3 linked regions of the Rhinolophus ferrumequinum genome follow. The protein of the gene in region 3 purifies or fractionates together with the protein of the main gene of each other region. This does not show direct contact. Links are inferred from orthologs where the notes say so. Each region holds a gene or a part of one and is shown on either strand. Other genes may lie near its edges.

What was found.
Region 1: the proteins of HSPB1 (region 3) and G6PD fractionate together in Homo sapiens (co-fractionation; 3 studies listed by BioGRID and IntAct, with this or other methods). This does not show direct contact. The link is inferred for Rhinolophus ferrumequinum from reciprocal best matches to the Homo sapiens genes HSPB1 and G6PD.
Region 2: the proteins of HSPB1 (region 3) and TGFB1I1 purify together in Homo sapiens (affinity purification with western blotting; 3 studies listed by BioGRID). This does not show direct contact. The link is inferred for Rhinolophus ferrumequinum from reciprocal best matches to the Homo sapiens genes HSPB1 and TGFB1I1.

What each region holds. Positions count from the first base shown.
Region 1 is NC_046284.1:6,114,631-6,122,360, reverse strand, and holds the start of G6PD (glucose-6-phosphate 1-dehydrogenase), read right to left. Parts: upstream 3,059-7,730; 5' UTR 2,985-3,058; coding exon 2,885-2,984; intron 2,791-2,884; exon of another isoform or gene 2,633-2,790; intron 2,062-2,632; coding exon 1,934-2,061; intron 1-1,933. Other genes in the region: IKBKG (NF-kappa-B essential modulator), read left to right, coding at 6,827-7,013. UniProt on the Homo sapiens protein: Catalyzes the rate-limiting step of the oxidative pentose-phosphate pathway, which represents a route for the dissimilation of carbohydrates besides glycolysis.
Region 2 is NW_022680357.1:63,078-70,059, forward strand, and holds the start of TGFB1I1 (transforming growth factor beta-1-induced transcript 1 protein), read right to left. Parts: upstream 3,101-6,982; 5' UTR 2,961-3,100; coding exon 2,948-2,960; intron 1,611-2,947; exon of another isoform or gene 1,513-1,610; intron 1,279-1,512; coding exon 1,163-1,278; intron 1,056-1,162; exon of another isoform or gene 1,039-1,055; coding exon 986-1,038; exon of another isoform or gene 977-985; intron 879-976; coding exon 739-878; intron 659-738; exon of another isoform or gene 605-658; coding exon 517-604; intron 400-516; coding exon 294-399; intron 182-293; coding exon 1-181. Other genes in the region: ARMC5 (armadillo repeat-containing protein 5), read right to left, coding at 5,454-6,273, 6,371-6,503. UniProt on the Homo sapiens protein: Functions as a molecular adapter coordinating multiple protein-protein interactions at the focal adhesion complex and in the nucleus. Links various intracellular signaling modules to plasma membrane receptors and regulates the Wnt and TGFB signaling pathways.
Region 3 is NC_046290.1:92,474,255-92,480,254, forward strand, and holds HSPB1 (heat shock protein beta-1), read right to left. Parts: upstream 2,017-6,000; 5' UTR 1,928-2,016; coding exon 1,558-1,927; intron 1,042-1,557; coding exon 978-1,041; intron 889-977; coding exon 699-888; 3' UTR 577-698; downstream 1-576. UniProt on the Homo sapiens protein: Small heat shock protein which functions as a molecular chaperone probably maintaining denatured proteins in a folding-competent state. Plays a role in stress resistance and actin organization.

The sequences.
Region 1 (7,730 bases), on a different chromosome or scaffold from region 3:
ACAGGTCCCATGAGGAGGGCAGGGCCTGTGTCACTGCACTGCAGAGGAGGTACTCAATCGCCACTTGATGCCTGAATAAGCAGAGAACTAACTGGTTTCCCAGAGAACCACCGTGCCTACTTTCTACATGGAGGGAGCAGGCATGGGAGGCCTGCTTCTGGGAGCTGTTCTAGGTGCTGCCTGAGCATGGGAGGCCCGCCTACCCCACTCCAGCCCCCTTGAACTGCAGGATGGAGAAACAAACAAGGAGGCTCTTCTTCGGAGGATCCCCTCCCCACAGCCTGTCCTCCTCCACTCCACCGCACTGAAGTGGCACTTCCCACTTCTGCTCTGAAAGCTTCTGTTTGTTGCTCTCAGAGCAGAGGGGAGCAAAGGGGAACCTCACCAATTGCAAGAAAACAAAGTTGCCCAACCCCAAGCTGGCCACAGAGGAAGGCAATGATGAGGAGCTACAGAATCAGCTCGGCAGAGCCCAAGGAAGCCTTGGCATTTGCTTCAAAAGCCCTCATTTGCTACATGGAAACACAGAGGTTCAGAGAAGGGAAGACACTTGCCCCAGGTCACACAGCAAGCTTGGATGATCTCAGTGAGATGTCTAAGAGTTGAGGGTCTGGAATTGTAAGCCATTTATTGTGGCCTGGGACGCTCTATTGGGGCATCCTGTGACTGGAGGGAAGGAAGAGAACTAATCCTGAGTTACTTTCTCCTCCAAACTATTTCTTGGACAAAGGGCCTAATGGTCAGAGTCCTTGGTGTTAAGGTTTGTGGCCAATACAGGTATGGCTCCTCTAAGGGGACCAGGCTGGAGACAAGGTGGACGTCACATCTGCCCCCTGTGTGCTGCTACTGTGTACTCCCCAGCCGTGGACTTACGGGGAGCCAGAGGACAGTGCTTAGTGCAGGCCTTCCCTCCCTCCCACCGGCAGAACCTTTCTCCCCCACTCTGCCTCCCTCCCTGCATTCTGGCTCTCCTTTTCCAAGTTCTAATCAGAATCCCAAAGTTGGCAGGGGGCAGCCTCTGCAAAGGACAGTGGCACGCTGATACGTGAACAAAGAACCAAGGTCCTCCAGAGTGAGGGGAGCATGATGTGGACGGCACAGAGAGACCATGCCTTCCCCGTCAAGAGCTGACTAGTTTGGGTAGAACTCTCCCTCAAGATTATACAGTAAGTTATGGGTAAAAATGGTCCTGCGATGCTTAGCAGATGCTTCGTCACATTCAGGGTTCAACGTGAAAAGAGAAGGCCGCTTTAACTTCGACATGAAGCCCTGGCAACTCATCTCACCAGGCCCTGCACACATCTTGCCGCCTGGCAGAGATCTCATTTCCACATGGTACACCGGGAGGGGGCCTTAGTGTAGGGGCCATGGCCTTTCCTATCAGAGCAAAATGGCAGTGCCACTGGCTAGACAATGGGGCAGGTCACAGCTCCTCAGCAGGCCTTGGAAGTTGGGGCAAAGAGACAGTGTTCAAAGAAAGGTTGAGTGTTTGTCCCCAGGGAACTTGACGTGGTAGAGAGACAAGGTGGAGATTGGGCCTCAGATCCTGCCTCTGGAACTAATTGACTGTGTGACATTTGTCAAGTCACAAACAAGTTTGAGAAAGATACACACAGAATGAATAGCCTCCCTTGTTTGCATCTCAGTTTTCCCCATGGAGGAAGCAATCCAATCAGACAGTCCCTAAGGACCTTCCAGCTCCAGGACATGGGTCTACATTCAACGGCTCTGCAGGTTTCAGAAATGCCTCACAGTGTGTGTATACCAGGTGTGCTGGGTGATAATGGCACACGAGCAGGAGTAAGAAGGAGAGTCTAACTGAGCTGAGCCTGTGTGGCCCCACGGCAACCAGTTGGGAAAGCTCAGGTACCCAGCAGGAAGAGACCTTAAGCAACTTCACACTTTTAAGATGTGGGGCCTGGGGGAGACTCACCGATGCACCCATGATGATGAAGATATGTGTATCGGACTGATGGAAGGCATCACCCTGGTACAGCTCTTCCCGCAGGATCCCGCACACTTGGGTCCGGCTCAGGGCCACCTGCTCTGCCATGATGCTCTCTGGTGAAAGAAAGACTTGTTGACAAGGCACGAGAACAGAAGAGCTCTGAGAAGATGGCCCCTTTCTTCAGGGGTCTTTCGGGCTCTCACTCAGCTGAAGTCTGATTATTCGAAACCACTGGCTGAGAATGGGGGGAGGTAGGATGGTTGGGGGGTTAGAAGCTGCTGGCTCTGAGCTCCGGCCATACTCCCCAGGAAGCCTTCTTTCACAGTGTACATTACAAAATTACTCAAAGCACTAGTGGATTCCAACGAGAGTCTCAATTCTGAGGAACTGGGTAAAAAAACCCCTGCTGGAGCATCGCACGATGCTAGTTTCATCTCAGCCTGGAATCAGGCGGAAACCCCACAACAAGCTGGAGCATGTTAGACCCTGCAGCTCCAGTCCTCCTCCTACCAAGCTGGGAGATCATGGCAAGTCCCTGCCCCTCTCACGATCTCAGTCTCCTCAGGGGTCCACTGGAAAGCGTTAAGACTCTCTGATTTTACCCGGCTCCCCAGCATGGCAAATCGAAAGGCCTCGCGGCGCAGCACACCCCAACACCGGTGTGGCGCCCGCCCACTTCGTTACCTGAGCTTCCTGTCCGCCTCTGCCAGTTGGTCTCTCAGCCCCGGAGTTCCCGGACGTTTCCGGGGGCTGCGACCCGCGGGTCCATTTAACCAGCGGGGGCGGGCGCCTGAGCTGAGCTGACCGCCTCAGGCGAGGCGCGCGGGCGGGGCCTCCATGGGCCCCTCCCTCGCGGGGGGCAGGGCAGGTGCGCGCGCATCTTAGCCTCCCCTCCCGCGGAGTCCCCTCCCTTGGCCCGCCCCATCCCTTGGGCACCTGGGCCGGCCGCTGCCTGCTGTGCCCATCGCCGCTGTGTCGCGTCCCCGATGCCTCGCGAGTCCGCGAGCAGCTCTGCGCCGTTCGCCCACGTCTCCATAGCCAGCCCTACCCCGCCCCTACACTCTGATTTTGCCCCTCCGCCCCCGGCGGCCCGGCGCCCTCGCGGAGGGCTCACTTCCGCCGGCAGTGTGGCCACGCCTCCTCGACCCCCATTTATGGGCGGGGCCGTCTTCACCCCGCCCCCTCCCGGACCGGTCAAACCTGTCCTGCGAGGTAGCCTCTTCGTGGCTCCTCCCCTAGCAGGGGCGGGGCGGCCGAGCGCCCGGAGGCTGGGTGCCACCGCTCAAGAGACAAGGGGGAGTGTGGGTTTGACGCCCCGGAAAGTAGCGGGTGGGGAACATCACTGGGGAGCGTCCTGCGGGCCGGCCGAGGGTGGCGGGCTCAGGCTTCCCTTTGGAACAGCTTCCCTCACATCTATTCCCGGCCTCTTTGGAGGGGCGGGGCTTGCGTGTTTTACTTCCGGATCCCACAGTTACGACACCGGAAGCCGGAAGTGGGAATTTCGTGGGGGAGAAGGGAAGAGCGACCGCGGAACCGGGACTTTCTCGGAGCGACGGGGCCCGAGGAGCGCTCGCGGCCCGCTGCTCCCGCCCTTCTTACGTCGGACTGATTCTGCTGAAAGGTGTGGTCCTCTTCCCCGAAGACAGGGTACCATCGGTGGGCGTTCCGCCGCCTCCTAGATTTCCCCCGGACGTCTAGGCTTCCCTCTCCTGTTGGGCCCAGGTCCGTTTCTGCCACCCGCTTCTAGAGTACTGGCCCAGGCGGGCCGATGCAGGACCCAGGTTGCCTTGGAGGCGAGCGGGACTGTTTCCGCTTGTCCCTCCTCCGCTGCCGCGGAGTCTGACCACACCCATAGTTCGTGGATGACTCTTGTAGTTCGGAGACATTTTCTGTTCAAACTTGCTTGTGTGTGAGGTGGTTAAATTCTTTAAAAAGACCTCAAATAGAGTTGGCAGCTAAGTGTCTTATCTCATGTGCCTCCGTTTGTTCACTTTTCAAAAACGATTCATGTCAGCCCGACCTCATACCGTTTGTGTGACTTGAGGATAAAAGGGCCATCATGGCATGTTGGAAGAAGAGCAAGGAGGCCATTATAGCTGGAGCAGAGTGAGTGAGGTACTTGGAGAGGAAGCAGTAAGGGATCAGATAGTGCAGGGTCTTGTAGGCCATTGTAGGGACTTTGGCTTTTACACAGAGGGTAATGAGGAACCATGCATGGTAGAGATCTGATTAGAGGAGGGACATGATTGGAATTACCTTTTAGGCGGATTGTTCTGACCGAGGTGGGGAGAACAGACTGTATGGGGCAAGGGTAGGAACAGGGGTGACCTGTTAGGAGGTTGTTGCAGTAATCCAAGTGAGAGACAATGGTGCTATGAGCATTTTATTATGAAAAATTACAAAGACGTACAAAAGTAGGAAGAAGAGTGTAGTAAATCCCATGTGCCCACCTCCCAGCTTCAACAATTATCAACTTGTGGCCAATTTTGTTTAATTTATACCTTTTACAATCCTCTCCCATTACTCTTTTTAATGACAGCTTTATTGAGATATAATTCACATACCACACAGTTCACCCATTTAAAGTGTACAGTTCACTGGTTTTTAATATATTTAGAGTTGTACAACCATACCCACTAATTCCAGAACATTTTTATCACTCCAAAAAGAAACCCTGCACCCTCTAGCTGTCACCCCATCACCCCATCTCCCCCGCCTCTAAGCATCCACTAATCTTTCTGTCTCTGTGTATTTGCCTATTCTGGACCTTTCATATAAATGGAATCATACAATATGTGGTCTTTTGTGAGTTGTTTCTTTTTCTTAGCATAATGTTTGCAAGATTCATCCATTTTGTAACATGTCTAGATTTTGATTATTCATCAGTTGATGGACATTTGGGTTGTTTCCATTCTTTGGCTGTCATGAGTAATGTTGCTGTGAGCATTCATGTATGGACATGTGTTTTCATTTCTTTTGGGTATATACCTAGGAATTTCCCCATTACTTTGAAGTGGATTTCAGACACCATGCGTAAATATTTCAGTATGCATCTCTAAGAAAGGACTGAAAAAAAAAAAAAAACAACCACAATACCATATCCCACCTAAAATAGTTAACATTAATTGCTTAGTGTCATCAGATCGATTCTGGGATATATTTTGGTAGAATTTCCTGATGGATCAGATGTGAGCTGTGAGAGACAGGAGTCAAGATGGACTCCATGGTATTTGTCCTGATAACGAGAGGATGGATTTGCCATCAGCTGACACGAAAGAAGGCTGCGGGACCTGGCTTTTGGGAACTGTCGGGAACAGTTTTAGAGAGATTAGTTTTGAGAGGACTCCTAGATTCCAAGTGGAGATGTTGAGTTTGATATGTGAGTGTGGCGTTGAGGAAAGAGGTCTAATTTGGGGCATCATTGACATTAAGGTGGGGGGTTAAAGCCATGAGGCTGGATGCTTAGTACTGGTGGGACTGGACAGAGAAGAGAAGAGATCCTAGAACAGAGCCCCGGGGCATCACAGTGTGAAGGGCTGGGTTACCAAAGAGGATTCAGTGCATGGCACCGAGCACAAGCAGCCAGTGAGGTCGGAGGAAAACTAGGAGAGGGCTGTCCTGGGAGCTGAGGGAGGAATCCGTGGTTGGTCAGATGCTGCTGATGAGTTAGTGGTGTGTTCAGTGTGGTAGTCAAATGTCCAAGTTTATCTGTTGTGAAAGCCTCCCTCAGCTCAGGCCTCAAAACTTGTATTGAGAGTGGCCTCCTCCGCCAGGTAGTCAGTCTTCTTGGGCAGGATTGAAAAGGGCTCCAGGCTGGTACTGTCCCTCACGGCCCGCCTCTCCTCTGGTTCACAAGAGAATGGGGACAGCTCAGCCTGTGTCTCTGCCCCACTGTCTTAGGCTGTCAGCCCAGCTCCCACTTGCCGATTCTAAAGCAAAAAGTCAGATACTGGATTTCCCTTTTGTCCCCTCAGTTCCAGGGAACATTCATCAGGGTCTGAGTGGTCTCCTCGAAATCCTTCTTAGTAGGTGCATTAATTTTCTGGGGCTGCTGCAAGAGATTTATTCTTTCCCAGTGCTGGAGGCTGGAAGTCTGAAGTCAAGTGTGGGCAGGGCCGTGCTCTCTCCAGAGGCTGTAGGGGAGGGTCCTTCCTGCCTCTTGCAGCTTCTGGTGGCCCCAAGTGTCCTTTGGCCTGTCGCCACTCCAGTCTCTGTCTCCACCTTCGTATGGCTTCTTCCTATGTCTGCATCTGTCCTCTTTTATCTCCTATAAGGATACTGTCATTGGATTTAGGGCTCACCCTAAGCCAGGAAGATCTCCTCTAAAGATCCTGCACCTAATTATATCTGCAAGGACCCCTTTTCCAAATGAGGTTACATTCCCAAGGTTCTTGGGGTCAGGACATGGATGTATCTTGTTGGGGGGGCCACCATTCAACCCACTACACTAGGTGAGGGGCCAACGCCCTCCATTCCTGCTTGCAGGTGTGTGTATGTGGTAGGATAGCCAGCACACTGACACCTTCCTCCAAAATGAATCCTCTCTCTTATTTTCCCCTTTGGCGAAATTCTTCACTTCAGCTTACAGCCCGGAGATAGTTGCTAGGCAGGGCTTATAACTGGTGCTGAACCATGGCCTTCCCAAGTCCCATACGTGGGCCTGCACCTCCCTTTGGAATGGGAGTATGTGCCACTTCTTAGACCAAAAAGCCCATTTTAGCATGCTATTACACTCGACAAAGTGCTTGGTATTCTGCGTAAAACTTGGCCCCAGAACTGCTGCACACACTACACCCGTTGTCCTGTAGGTAAGAGAATTCTGCACGGGTCTCGTGTGACGCCTGTGCTGCCGTTCTCTCCCAGACCTTGACTTGTTGGATGAGCGGGCCCCCCTGGAAGAGTCAGCTGTGTGAGATGGTGCAGCCCAGCGGTGGCCCGGCCGGGGACCAGGACGTGCTGGGTGAAGAGTCTTCTCTAGGGAAGCCGACCATGCTCCACCTGCCTTCGGAGCAGGGCGCTCCTGAGACCTTCCAGCGCTGTCTAGAGGAGAATCAAGAGCTCCGAGGTAAGGAGGACATTGGGTGTGAGGGGTAAAAAGTCAGGACCCAGCCCTGCTGGGGGAAGGCTTATCCTACTCACCTATGCCTATGTGTTTACTGGGTCTGGGGGTGGGTGTGTATCAGGGAGCCAGCTAGCGATTGCAGCTCAGCTGCCCTCCCTCTTTGTTTTAGGTGGGATTCCCCGGAAGCATCTTGTGAGATGGAGATGAGCTTATAGGAGCTTTATTCTGAGTGCTCTGAGGACCAACACTGAGGGAGGGAGGGGAAGAGAAGGACAGGGAGGAAGCAGGGCTGGGCAGAGGGAGAAGCTGGGCTGCAGTGCAGGCCGAGCCTACGGGGAGCTCTGGAGCAGAATGACACTCTGAGTTGCTCCAAGTTGGGCCAACACAGCCAGGCCTTCATATCTCTGCACTAATTGGTCGTGAGCTGGCTAGCCTGGGGAGGGGCACGGCATGGGTCTTGTGGGGAGGGGGCGTGGCCTGCTCTGGGAAAGGAAGGGGTCCTTGGCCTTTGCCCCTGGGTCAGGTGGCTCTGTGACGAGACCTCAGCTGAAGGCTGTCCTCCAGCACCTCCTCCCCCAGGTGGCTGGCACGGGGGCCATTTCCTGGCCATCCCACCCCTGTCTCCATCACAGCCCCTGCTCACCCACTCTCCACGTCCTCAGCTGTATCTGTGGCAGCTTCTCCAGGTCCTAGCGGCCCTTGCACGGTGCCCCTCAGGTG
Region 2 (6,982 bases), on a different chromosome or scaffold from region 3:
CTTTATTGCAGGAGCCACAGAGGCCCTTGGCCTGGGTGGGAATGCCACGGCGACTGAGGTCGGACTGCAGCAGACCCAGCATGGTGTCCAGGCCGCCCTTGCTGGTAGGCTCCGCTGGGGACGGGGAGCCCTCATCCACGGAGCTTGGCCCTGGTGGCTGGGTTGGCCCAGGAGCTGGGAGCTGCAGCAGGGGGCACATGTGAGTTGAGTCAGCAAGGCAGCAGATGTGGAAAGGTTTAAGATGGGCCGGGGAGCCACACATCCACAGCGGCCCGCCCCCTTGCCTGACTCACGTGGTTCTGGACTCGGAAGTCAGAGAGTGACGCCATCAGTCTGTCCAACTCCAGGGTGGCAGAGGTAGCCGAAGGCTTTTGGAGAACGGGGGATGGGCTAGGGGGCCTGTGAAGAACACAGCGTGTGTCGGCTCCGAGCCTCCCAGAGGAACGCTCTTTCCAGTATCTCAGGCATTCAGGACCGATCACCTCTCTCCCAGCCCTGCCAACTGTGCAAACTCACCCACTGGGCCTTTTCTTGTCCTCAGATTGGTCCTCTTTCTGCTCCCCTGCAGTCTCCTTGCTAGATGGGAACTGAGACATTATTTCATCTGCGGAGAGGAGAGAAGGGCTGGACACGGGACCGTGCTCTACCCGCCTCCCGCGTAAGGCTTTGAGTCCTTTCCACTGCTGCTCTGGGGAGTATGTACCCCTTGGTGAAGGCCTGTCGCAGTAACCCCCGTACCTGTGATGTTAAACTGAGTCGCATTAAGCTCCTGAAGCAAGCGGTCCAGCTCACAGAGCCCTGTGCCCAAGACACCACTGGAGGAGAACGGAGGGGCCGCGGGGGCCGCAGGCTTCGGGGACCGAGGCTTGCATACCGTGCTGGGAAACAGGGTGGGAGCCTGGGTTCAGGGGTGGGGAGTCCAAGCCTCCTCACCTGAGTCTCATTGGGCTTCTCCACCCCTCATCCCCGTTCCCAGGCCCCTTACCTGTACAGATGGTCCTTGTCCCCTGAGGCTCCTGAAGACTCGCCAGACCCCATCTACAGAGAGGACACAGGTATGGGATGGCAGACCTGTATCTTGCCTCACTCAGGCCCAGATTCCCCCGAGCCCAGGCCAAGACGGGCCCGAGTGGTTGCCCCAGGCCACAGCCTCTGATCTCACCTGCGGCTGGTGGCCATAGGACAGGGAAGATGTGAGGGCCTCTGGGGGCTGCTCTTTTGGAGCCTCTGACCTTGGCATGTGTGACGTGGTGGTCTCCAGGTCAGAGAGCAGGGCATCTGCAGGGAGAGGTCATCAGCGTGAGAAGCTGAGAGGTCAAAGTTAGGTCAGAGACAAAGAGGGTCTTAACAGATGAGAAGATGAGTTCCAAGTGGGCAGTAGTTGAGGACAGAAGCAAGTATTGAGAGCAGACATCAGGCATCAGGCATCAGGGAGGGCGGATGGGTAGCTCAGGTGGTTAGAGTGCAAGCTCTGGGCAACAGGGTTGCCGGTTCAATTCCCACATGGGCCAGCGAGCTGCGCCCTCCGCAACTAGAATGAAGTCAATGATCTGCCGCTGAGCTTCTTGAGTAGCCACATGACTCAGTTGGTTGGAGCACGTCCTCTCAACCACAAGGTTGCGGGTTCCACTCCCTCAAGGGATGGTGGGCTGCTCCCCCTGTGACTAACAACGGCAACTGGACCTGGAGCTGAGCTGCACCCTCCTCAACTAAGATTGAAAGGACAGCTTGACTTGGAAAAGTCCTGGAAGTACACACTGTTCCCCAATAAAGTCCAGTTCACCTTCCCCACTAAGCTTTTTTTTTTTTTTTTTTAAAAAAAGGAATGAGAGGGAAACACAAGGCCAAACCCAGGTAGAAAAGTGGAAGGGCAGCAAGGAATATTTATGAGCAGAACATCCCAAATGGCTCATCCTGGGAGTTACCCACAAACCCACCCACCTGATTTTTTTTTATCCTCCGAATCTTCCCTAATGCAGTCAAAATTGGCTCTTTACTGGAGCCAAGTTTGGCTCCACCCCAAATTGCTCAATTGGCTGTATGCCTGGAACCCAGCTTTCTGATTGGAAGCTCTCTTACCACGCCCACTAATTTCTCCCCCGACCTGAACAGGCCCACTCCGCTCTGGCCCGCCTCCAGACCCACTGGGTCCCACCCTATGCACCTCATTGGTGAGTCTGCAGGGACCTGCCTTCTGATTGGCCTATTCTCCGCAGTATCAGTGCCCGTTACCCCTACCGAGCATCACCCCTCATTACAGTCTGCTGGAACCCTTTCTGTCCCACGGTTGGAGGGCACAGCCTTCCAGCCCCAGTTCCAACAGACAGAGAGGACAAGATGCCTGCGTCCTCCTTTCTGCCCAGACAGCACAACTGCCCATCCCCAGATCTGGATCTTTTGAACGCTTTCCCTTCCAGAACTCAGAAGTCCCTGTCCCTTTACTCTTCATCTCTGAGCGGCGTGGTGGAACCTTTAACGTCTCCCCGCCACCTATGGATCGCTACCAAACTTAGGGACCCCTTAACGCTTTCCTTCCCGAAACCCCAGGGCAGGCCGGTTTCCTTCTCCAGAACTGGGTGTCATAGCCTCCCTTCCTGCCTACTTTCCCGGTCCCCAGACCCAGGATCCCTTTAAACCCTCCCGTCCCAGAGCCCCTGAGCCCAGGAGCCCAGGGCCACCGCACCTCCCTGCCCATCTGTCCGCAGCCTGTGAAGGAAGAGTGGGGCGAGGCGAGAAGGGAGGGAGCGGCCAGCCTGGGAAAGGCAGGAAGGGAGAGGCAGGAAGGGGGACGTGGAATTAGAAAGGAGGCGCGGGCAGAGACAGAAGCCAGACGACAGGAGGCAGGGATGGGGAGATGCAGGAGGGGAGTGCAAGGGGGCTCCAGTATGGGGAAGCGGGTCCAGGGGATAGTGAAGGGCTGGGGACGGGGGGACCCAGCCCCACTCACCCAGGTCCTCCATGGCGGGGTGCAGACAGACCACGCTGGGTGAGCAGGGCGGGGGCCGTGTCCGGTGGAAGGGGGGACGTCCGGGAACTGGAGGCCCAGCCCGTGACCATGTAAGGAAGCGGGACCCGTTGGGATGGAGCTGGAGGGAAAGGTGGGGGGAGTGGGGGCAAGGAACAAGAGAAGCCTGGGTGGGGGCGTGTAAGGGAGGGAGGGCCCAGACCACGCAGGCCCGGCCCCTGATCACAGAGAGGCGGCCACACCCCGGCCTTGGCCTCAGCTGCAGGGAGCCCCAGGCGGCCACAGCCAGAGTCAGAGAAGTGGCTCTTAGAGCAGCCTGGGAAGCTCCGCCCAGAGAGGCGCTCAGATGCAGACTGAGACCCCCAAACAGAACCTCCCGAAGCCAGCACCCCGAGTTGCAGACGCAGCCCCTCCTCTTGCCCAGGCTTGCTCCAGACAGAATTTGGGGGCTGGAGACAGGAATGATGTTCTAGGATCAGTCAGATCGCAGGTTCAGAGAACTTCGCTTAGCGACCCTGACACACAATGACATAGACAGAGGGCACATGCACTAGACACGAATAAATCTCTCAGAGACTGAGACAGACACAGTGAACCCTTCCACTAAACCAGGTGTCCTAGACTTGGAAACAGACACAGTTAAACTGAAACTCAGGCACCAGCCCCACGCAGACTCAGAAAACACTCCCACCAGCCAGACCCCACGCAGCCTTCAAGACAAAGCCCCTCCCCAGCACTGAGGCTGCCCAGACCTATTCCCGAGCTGCTGATGGGCCCGGAGAAGACAGCAAGCCAGACAAGGCTCCAGCCGGCCCAGCGACCAAGGAGTCAGAGGCCTTCCCTGGACTGAGACCCTGAGAAGTCAGGGCGGAAATAAGACACGCCCTGGTACACGGGTCTGGACAGACACAACTGCGCCGTGGTGTCCACCCAGACCAGAGTCCAGCCATGAGCGCTTCAACCTTGGGGACTTAGCTGGCCACGTGAGCCGCTGTGCCCACCATCAGGCCGGGATACAAGGCATTTACTGCCATTGTGTGTCCAAGGCATCACATGAACTATTTCATGTAAAACGGTTCGCGTTGGGTGGAGTATTACATTTTTAACATAGGCTTTGATTTATATGTGAAAATCTGAAATTAAAATGTAAATTTCCTTACGACACGTGTTTTGGATGTAGAACTAAGGTATACAACGTCCTGTTGTATACAGTGGAGCAAATGTATACAAGGCCGACAACCGTAGAAGAGGGTACGACCCTTGTTTTAAGATTGTCATTCAGAAAAATAAAGTAAGAATCGGTGCCACAGGTGGTCCCCAGTTGTGTCTACTTGCTGATACTGTCTCTTGTGACACAGCCCTTGTTGAGCTGGGATCCTTACAAGAATTGATCTCCATTTGTTATTTTTCCTGTCAGGCAATCGGCCATGTTAAACGGAAGAAGGAAAACAATCAAAACCAGAAGCCAATCAGAACCACCTGGGGGGCTTTTTAAAAATACTGCTGCGCAGTCCAATCCAAGCAGAGAGGACTCAGGCATCAGTATTTCACTTATCTTCCAAAAGCGCTCTGCTGGTTCTAATGTGCAGCCTAATAGAGGCCTGGACAGTGGCATCAGTGTCCACCTTAGTCCACAGAGGCCACCGGCACACCCTGTCCAGCAAGTCTCCTCAGTCACGTTGCCACCTGAGTGGTCAGACCTGGGAGCCAGGTGACGGAGACCCTGCCTTGGGGACAAAGTGACAGGAGCCCGTCCCTCACCTCAGTGCCAGCCCAGGGCTTTGCCAGCCCAAGACAAGGCCTCAGGGACTCCGCAGCAGACCTGCCTTTAGGAAAACAGCAGGACACTTGGCCCAAGAGATGAAAATGAACCCACAGACTGAAGGCCCGAGATGGGTGATGGACACTCGAAAAGCAGGAACACCCAGGCCAGGGGCATCTTGCATTGCCCCAGCACAACCCTCTCGGAGGCCAGCTGAGAAGCTGTCTGAGCAATGACATCATGTGAGCGGGAGGCAGGCCTCCCTTGGGGCCCGAAACCACATCCTAGGGAGAGGCCTGGGGACTCCACCCTGTGCCGGGACTCCAGGAACCACTGCATGTCCCTCGTGAAACTCCTCCATGCCAGGGTGTCCTGCACTGAGACACAGGGGCCGGGACAAAACCCTCCTTGATGGGTGAGGGTGCGAGGAGACCCCCAAGAGAAAGTAAACAGAGACAACACACAGTAGGGTTTCCACTTCCAAAGTTTAATCCCACTCCAGGTGCTGGGCCAGGCCCGGGGCCCTGGGCTCTTCTCCGTCTCATGGGCCCCAGGCCAGACCCCGGCCTTGGCTTCTCACTCTTGAGTCGTCAGCCCATCATCCTGGGGTCGAGGGCCACCCTCTCCTGTCCGCGGTGGCCCCTTCTGCTCAGCCTCCTCGCCCAGCCTCTCTGAGGGAGGCCACCTTCACAGCCATCTCATCTTTGGGTCCCCTCCGAGGGGACATCAACAGTCTACACTGGGACCCTTACCCCCAGACTCACCCCCCATCACCACGGCCAGTAAAGCTTCAGTCAGGGGACCAGTCTCCTTGCCTGCTGCCTCCACAAGCCCCAGCAGAGCCAGGGCGCGCTTCCGCGGACACTGCTCTGGCCCCAGTGTCCAGCGGGCACAGTGAGCAGCCAGCCGGGGCCGGCCCAGGCGGAACACCTCACCCACGGACGCTGGGCCACTCTGAGGTCCCAGGTGGACGTGGCCCACGGCCTCTTCCAGCTCCTCCTCCAGCCCAGGCAGCAGGAAACGGCCAGCAGCCTCCAGCGCCTCTTCAGCTTCGGAGCCCAGCAGGGGCTGGCCTGGCGGGGGAATGGGCCCCAGGGATGCCCCACAGCCCCGGCAGCCATGCAGGTGATGCAGGATAGGCCAGGCCGCGCTGGGTGACAGACCTCGAAGCGGTACCAGGTCCATCTGGGCTTCGGCAAAGCTGCCATCCAGCAGGGCTCGGAAGAAAGGGGATGCTGTTGAAGAGGCAGCTCGCTGGGCAGGCAGCCGCAGGCCAGAGTCGAGCAGGAAATGCAGGTCAGGGGCTGGGGTGGGCGCTGGGCCCAGCAGAGGCTCATAGAGGCAAGGGGAGGGCACCTCTGGGTCCCCCGGGACTGCCGGTGGGGAGGCTGGGGTTGCAGTGGGCGACACCAGGCTTTGCAGGCAGAACAGGGAGTCCGCCGCGAAGAAGAGGAAGAGCGGGTGTGGGGCTGGCAGCGTCAGCGCCGACAGGAGGACACGTAGGCCGCCCTGGTCCAGAAGCAGCCGGCGCCACAGAGACGGCTTCCTTCAGGGAGAAAGAGAACGCTTCAAGAGGTGGGAAAGGACAGGACTGGGGAACAGCAACCTTGCTCCCAACCCATGAAAAGCACCCACGGCCTCACCGGCAGATGAAGGGCAGGGTCAGCGCACAAGCCACTCGGTCCTCGGGGCTCCCGGAGAGCAGCAGGTGAGTGAGGGCACCCACCCCGAAGGGCGACTCAGCCTGCACGGTCAGGTTCTGCAGCAGCATCTCACCTGCAGGGGTGGGCAGGCAGGGTCAGGCTGGGAGCTGGTGGTGTCCAAGACAGCTGGACGGGGCTGGCTGGGCACGACAGGACTCGGGCCCCAGACATGGAGGAGAGCAGAAGCTCAGGGCACAGGGAAGGGGGGCGGCCACAGGCTCTGGGGGGACGGGGCCAGATGCTAGGGACTGGGGGTCAGGGGCAGAAATGAGAAGTGGGAGGGAGTCTGAGGGGGTGAATCAGGGCCCTTAAGGGCTGAAACGCAACCTGGCAGAGCTGGAAATGGGGGTGGGGTCTGGAAGGCCATGGTGCCTAAGCCTGGGCTCACAAATCCTTGTGCCTAGTGGGGAACAGGCAGGACTGCAGAACCCACACTGGGACAGGAAATGCAGGCAGGCACAATGCTAAGTTGTTGGGGCCCAGCCTGGTATCTGACCCTAAGGCTCGGGCAGAGGATGGAGGTCTCTGCATGCTGGGACTGGGGGCAGGACA
Region 3 (6,000 bases):
CAACCGTCGTCGTCGTCAGGGTCTTTGCCTCTCTTCCACCAAAACCTAGGCCATTCTGCCCTCACTGTCTGCAGGGCATCCTCAGCCTGAGAGCCCAGGCCCATCCTGCATGGGCATCAGGGGATGGGTCCTTTGACGAGGCCCACCCCGCTTAGTCATCTGAAGTTGCCATACCTCCCATACCATCTACATGGTCCTGTCCCTCTCTGGGAGGACAATAAAGTAATGACGAGGTCAGTAAGGGACCCTGAGCTCCCAGGCAGCTCCCCTCCCCTGGCCCTGCTCTGTCCCCCTTCACCTGACCCCAGCCTAGGAATCCCTGAGTACCCAGTCCTGGGCCAGGAACCTCTCCTGGTTTCCCCAGCTCCCACACCTGCCCCTTGGAGTTTTAATTGCTGGTTACAATCATTACTTCTATCTTAATGGACAAGGGGCCAGAGGGCAGGGCTATACCCTGTAATGGGCATCATTGTACCCACAGGGCCCAGCATGAGGCTTTGCACACAGCAAGGAATGTCAGCCAGGCGACGGTGCCAACCCCTAGGCCTCTACACACACGAGGGTCTGAGGCAGTGGCAGGCAGTTGCTTTGAACTTTATTTGAGAAAAACAACATAAAGGTATCAAAAGAGCATTCAGGCTGACAGGTAGGGATGGTCAGTGATGGCTAATGGGGGGTTCGAAGCAGGGCCAAGGCCTTTACTTGGCTCCAGGCTGCTCCGACTTTCCAGCTTCTGGACCCCCGATCTGGGCACGAGCCTCGAAGGTGACCGGAATGGTGATCTCTGCTGACTGGGTGGCTGGCTTGGGCATCGGGGCCTCCACGGTGAGCGTGCCCTCAGGGGACAGGGAGGAGGAGACCAGGGTGGGGTCCACACCAGGGGGCAGCCTGGACATGCAGAGAGGGAGGACCAGAGTCACACACAGGTAAGTCACTGTGGCCCCCTCCCACTCCCCACCACTGGGCGCAGGACTCACGTGTACTTTCGAGTGAAGCACCGTGAAATGTAGCCATGCTCATCCTGTCTTTCTTCGTGCTTGCCTGCGGAGGGAAGGCGGTCAGAGGTGAGGGAGGGGCCAGCCCGCAGCCCAACACGCCCCACCTGGCGGCCTGGACTCAAGGCAGATCCCGACTGGTGGAGGGATTTGGGGTCGGGGGCTGTCCTCAGAAGCTTCTGGAGTTCTGTTTAGGACTTGGGGGTGGTGGATGCAGTGCCGGGCGTGCGCACACGCCCCCTCCACGGACCCGGTGTAGGGGCGGGGACAGCGCTGGAAGACAAAATTCTCTTCACAGCCACCGCAGGCCCGGGAGTGGGTGAGCGCAGGGAAACTTGGTCATCTGTAGGTTGGGGGTCTTAACTGAAAGGGGGGCATTTCTTCCCTTAATGGGGCGTTTTTAGGACCGAAAGGTCCCTTGGGAGCTATCCGCTAACTCAATTCTAGAGAAGGGGACACAGGCCTGGGGCAGGGCCAGGAAGCTTAATTTTTCGCTGCTCGGGCTCCGCTCCCCGCCCCGCCCCGCCCCGCCCGCTCCGTGCCCGAAGGGCCGGGGGCTCACCGGTGATTTCCACCACACCGTCCTTGGTCTTGACAGTCAGCTCCTCGGGGGCGAAGTGGTTGACGTCCAGGGACACGCGCCAGCGGTCGGCCGTGTGCCGAATCTCCGAGACGCCGCTGCTGAGCTGCTGGCTGAGCGCGCGGCTGTAGGCGGGCGTGGCCACTGCCGAGGAGCCCTCGGCGGCGGCCGGCAGCACCGGGCGCACGTAGCCCGGCCAGCCGCTGTGGCCCAACCAGAGCGACACCTCGTCGGGCAACCGCGGCATCCCGAACGACTGATCGAAAAGGCGGCTGTGGGGCGGGAACCAGTCGCGGAAAGGGTCCCAGCTTGAGCTCCGCAGGAGCGAGAAGGGCACGCGACGCTCTGCCATGCTGGATCGGATCTGCGCGTCTGGCTGAGGCTCGGAGAAGTGCCGGGCGTTGGAGCAAGAAGCGCTTTTATGGGGCTCCAGCCGGGTATTTTTAGCAGGCGGTGCTTCAGGTCTCTATTAATGGCAATGACGGGTTGGGGGCAGCCCCTCCCCCTGCATACCGGCGCAGGGGCGGGGCAAGGAAGACTTCCCACGTCTGGAACCTTCTCGTTCAAATAACCAAACAAATGACTGGAGCACCGATATTGATACAGTGACCACTGCCCGACAGGCCTGGGCGCTAAAGCGCTGGCCCGCGGGCTGAGGAGAGTCCCATTCTTGTGTCGGGGAGGACAAAGCTGAGAGAGGCCACACAACTAGGAAGTGGCAGAGCCAGCATTTGAACCACAGGGTGTCTGTAAAATAATGTCTTTTTTTTTTTTTTTTAAGATCTAAGTGGCTTTAATTAAGCACTTCAGGAATGGGGCAGCATCTCATCTAGCAACTAGAAGGGCACTCCCTGTAAAATTACGTTTTAAGAAGCAGTCTGGTGTGGTTTTAGGTGTGTAGGCTCTGGAGCCAGACTGCCTGGGTTCACATCCTGGTTCTGCCACTACTTGGAAGAACTTGTGCAAGTTAGACTCTGTGTGCCTCAGTTTCCCCATCTAGAAAATGGAGAAAATGGATGATGATAATAATGCTTACACCATTGGGCTGGTGTGAGGATTACGTGACTTAATGCAAGCATAGACTTTAGCCCAGGGCCTGGTACATGATAATTATTGTTATTATCTACCTGGAATTGAAGAGAGGGAGGAAGAAGGAGGATGTGTACCCATCCCTATTGCAGAGGCGGTGGTACCGTGTTTTCCCGAAAATAAGACCTAGCTGGACCATCAGCTCTAATGCTTCTTTTGGAGCAAAAATTAATATAAGACCCGGTATTGTTTTAATATTACATTATGTTATGTTATATATTATTATATTCCTGGTCTTATATTAAGACCCGGTCTTATATTATATTAAAATAAGACTGGGTCTTATATTAATTTTTGCTCCAAAGGACGCATGAGAGCTGATGGTCCGGCTAGGTCTTATTTTCCGGGAAACGTGGTATGTGTGGGTCTGGCCATTTCCCCCCTGCCCTCAGCAGTGGGGCTGGCCCAGATGAGAACCTGGGTCCTAGTGCTGAGAAGAGGTGAGGAGGAAGGTTATTGTCAGTCTCCGCATTATATCTATTTTTCCTTGAGGACAGGAAGCCTGAAATGCAGCAACCTTGAATCTACTCTGAGGTTTGTCACTGACTTACTGTGTGATTTGGGGCAAGGCCCGTCCTTTCTCTAGGCCTCAGTTTTCCTTTTTGCAGATCATGATCTCAAAACCCCTTTTGTTTTTTATTCCCACAGCACAAAGGGAGAGGGGGCTCCAGGTGGTACAGTTTGCTCACTCTTGCTTAGAGCCTGGGGCCTGCCCCTTGACCCCTCCTATCTGACCCTCTATGGGATCCAGGTCTCCATCTTCCATTGCTTGGAGAGGGTGGTGTCCCTAAGCTCCTGCCATAATCCTAACGTCCCCTCTTTCCTTCCTTCACAGGCATGATCCTGGTCCAGCCTTCCTTCTGCTGCCATGTCCTATTATCCTTCCTTTTTAGATGAAGAAACAGGTTCAGAGTGACTGGCCACTATCTCCTGTAAGACAGCAGCACAGTAAGCCTCTTGCCTCTCTAGTGCTTGGGGCTCTTACCCTCAGGGGCTCCTATCTTGGTGTTTCCCTGCCTTCTCTCTTTCTGAGACCCACCATGTTGCTGCCCCTTTCTGGGGCTGAGGCTATACTCTGTCAGTGCTGCAGGGGCTTTGCCCTGCTCAGGACATCTGAGGGGCTGGAAGCTAGACCCCAGGCCGCTCACCTCAATGAATTGGGGGTAACAACAAGTCTCATGCCCTCTCTGAGCCTCAATTTCCTCTTCAAGAGAGAGCTCCTGGATGCCTTCCTTCTTACTCACCTGCACCCCATGAGGAAAGAGTTGGGGCTGGACCATGAATCTGATGTCACCTCTGGAAAAGCCTCTGAGCACCTGGGGTTCTCTTGGGCCAGGGGTGGGAGGCAGACACCCCTGGGGCAGACACCTCTGCCCCATTTCCCTTGCTGGATCAGTAGGTCTCAGCTGGGAGCTCCTGGCTGCCCCCCAAGGGTCTCAGCTTCAGAAAGCCCCAGGTCTTTGGTCCCTGGCGTTCCCAGCCCCACCCGTCCTCACCTCTATAAAGTCAGGATGAGCTCAGGAGCCGGGAGGGCCCTCACCGCCCCTGCCTGCCCACCTTGGCTCAGACTGGAGTGCAGGTGCCCCACCCTAGAAGGAGCTGGCAGGTGTGGTCATGGATGCTTTCAAGTGTGGCCCTGCCAGGCCCAGCCACGCTCTGGGTGGAGGCTGCCTGGCTGGTTGCCAGGGCTTGTAGGCACAAGCTCCCTTCATCTTGCCTGACACCAGGCAGGTAGGATCCATCCTACTGCCCCAGCCAGGGAAGTTGTGCAATAACTCCATCCCTCTGCCCACGGCAGGTGGGGGACACAGAACAGAGAATTCACATCCATCTTCAAATGGCCAGTTCTCGAGAGACTCTAGGGCACCCTGCCAGTAACAACAAAGGAGACATGGGTGGCTCTGGGTCATGGTAAGAGGGGGTGGGGTGTGGGAGAAACTGGGTTTTGAGGTCAGACAAGGATGGACTTGAATCTGGGTGCTGCTGTTCACTGGCCTGGTGACCTCTCTGAGCCTACATGTCCCCAGCTGCAAAACGTGGCCAAAAACGCGCCCATCTTGCAGGGTTGTGGTGAATCCCAAACACAGCTAAGCACATGAAGTGCCTGGTGCTCATTAAGTATTAATCATTATTAATGGAAGAGGGCTTTTACTTTTGGATATCGAAACGTAGATTAATGAGAATTATGCAGTTGTATGAACTTTCTAGCGTATCCAGGTATCTTATTAGAGTCCCATTACTGAGATGAGAAAACTGAGGGTCAGAACTGCCCAAGGTGGCAAAGCTGGTCAGGGGGTGGGGAGGATTGGAATTCAGGCCTCCTGATCCTCTGTCCGGTGGGGGAGACTTCCCAGGCAGTCCAGGGAGGCCTGTGGGCTGTGGGCTTCTCGGTGCAGGGTGAGGTGTTGCCTGTCGGGACAGGGAGGGTTGGGCCAGACTCTCTGGGGTCCTTTCAGACCAGGTGCCTTTTCTCTAGGAGGTTGCACCCTGAAACCAGCCATAGGGCTTGGCAAGAGGAGCAAGGGCTGGATATCAGCCCCACACTTGCCCACCTGCCCAAATGTTCTTTGACAATCTTCTGCTCTAGCTGCCTGGGGTAGTTTCTCTGGGGTGAAGAGGAAACTGACTCCACCCCCAGGGATTTCCCGGAAGCCACAGGGGTGGGGGTGGCAGGGTGAGTGGTGAGGGGAAGTGGGCAGTGCGGGGTCTGGGATTCCTTAATCAGGGGCCCCTCCCCTCATCCCTAGCCCCAAAGTCTGAGGTACTCTGCAGCCCAGCCTGGCAAGAACAGCCTCCCAGCCTGGCACTTGGCCACACTAGTCACACCCTTGGTTGGCTTTTGCCAACTGTGGCTGAGCCAGGCCCTCCTTTCCTGGCTCAGCCCCAGAGAAAGTTCGAGAGTCTTCAGGCAGCTGCAGGAACTCCCTGGAGAAGCCTGACAGCTGACGGATTGTGCTGGTTGCTGGGCCTGCTGGGAACTGAAAATGTGGGCAGCAGTAATTAGAGCGCATGGGGGTGGGGGGCACTAGGTCTTTCTGGAAACGTCTAGACACTGTCCCTCTAGGAATCTATTCCAAAAACCCATTTCCAGCCTGCCCACCCCGTAGGCCTCTGGCTTCTGGCTGGCCTTGGGATTACCTCACCTCCATCACAGGATGGAGTGCCAAGGAAGGGCCAGGTGGGAGGAGACCCATCCTCTAGCCCCTCCCACTCCTCTGTCCATCAGAAACAATCTGTCAGCTTGGGAGCCTGGGGACCTGCATGTCTCTCACTCTGACCTTGGCCAGCAGCCGGCTCCCGTGACTCATTTTCTTCATCTGTACAATGAGACCATTG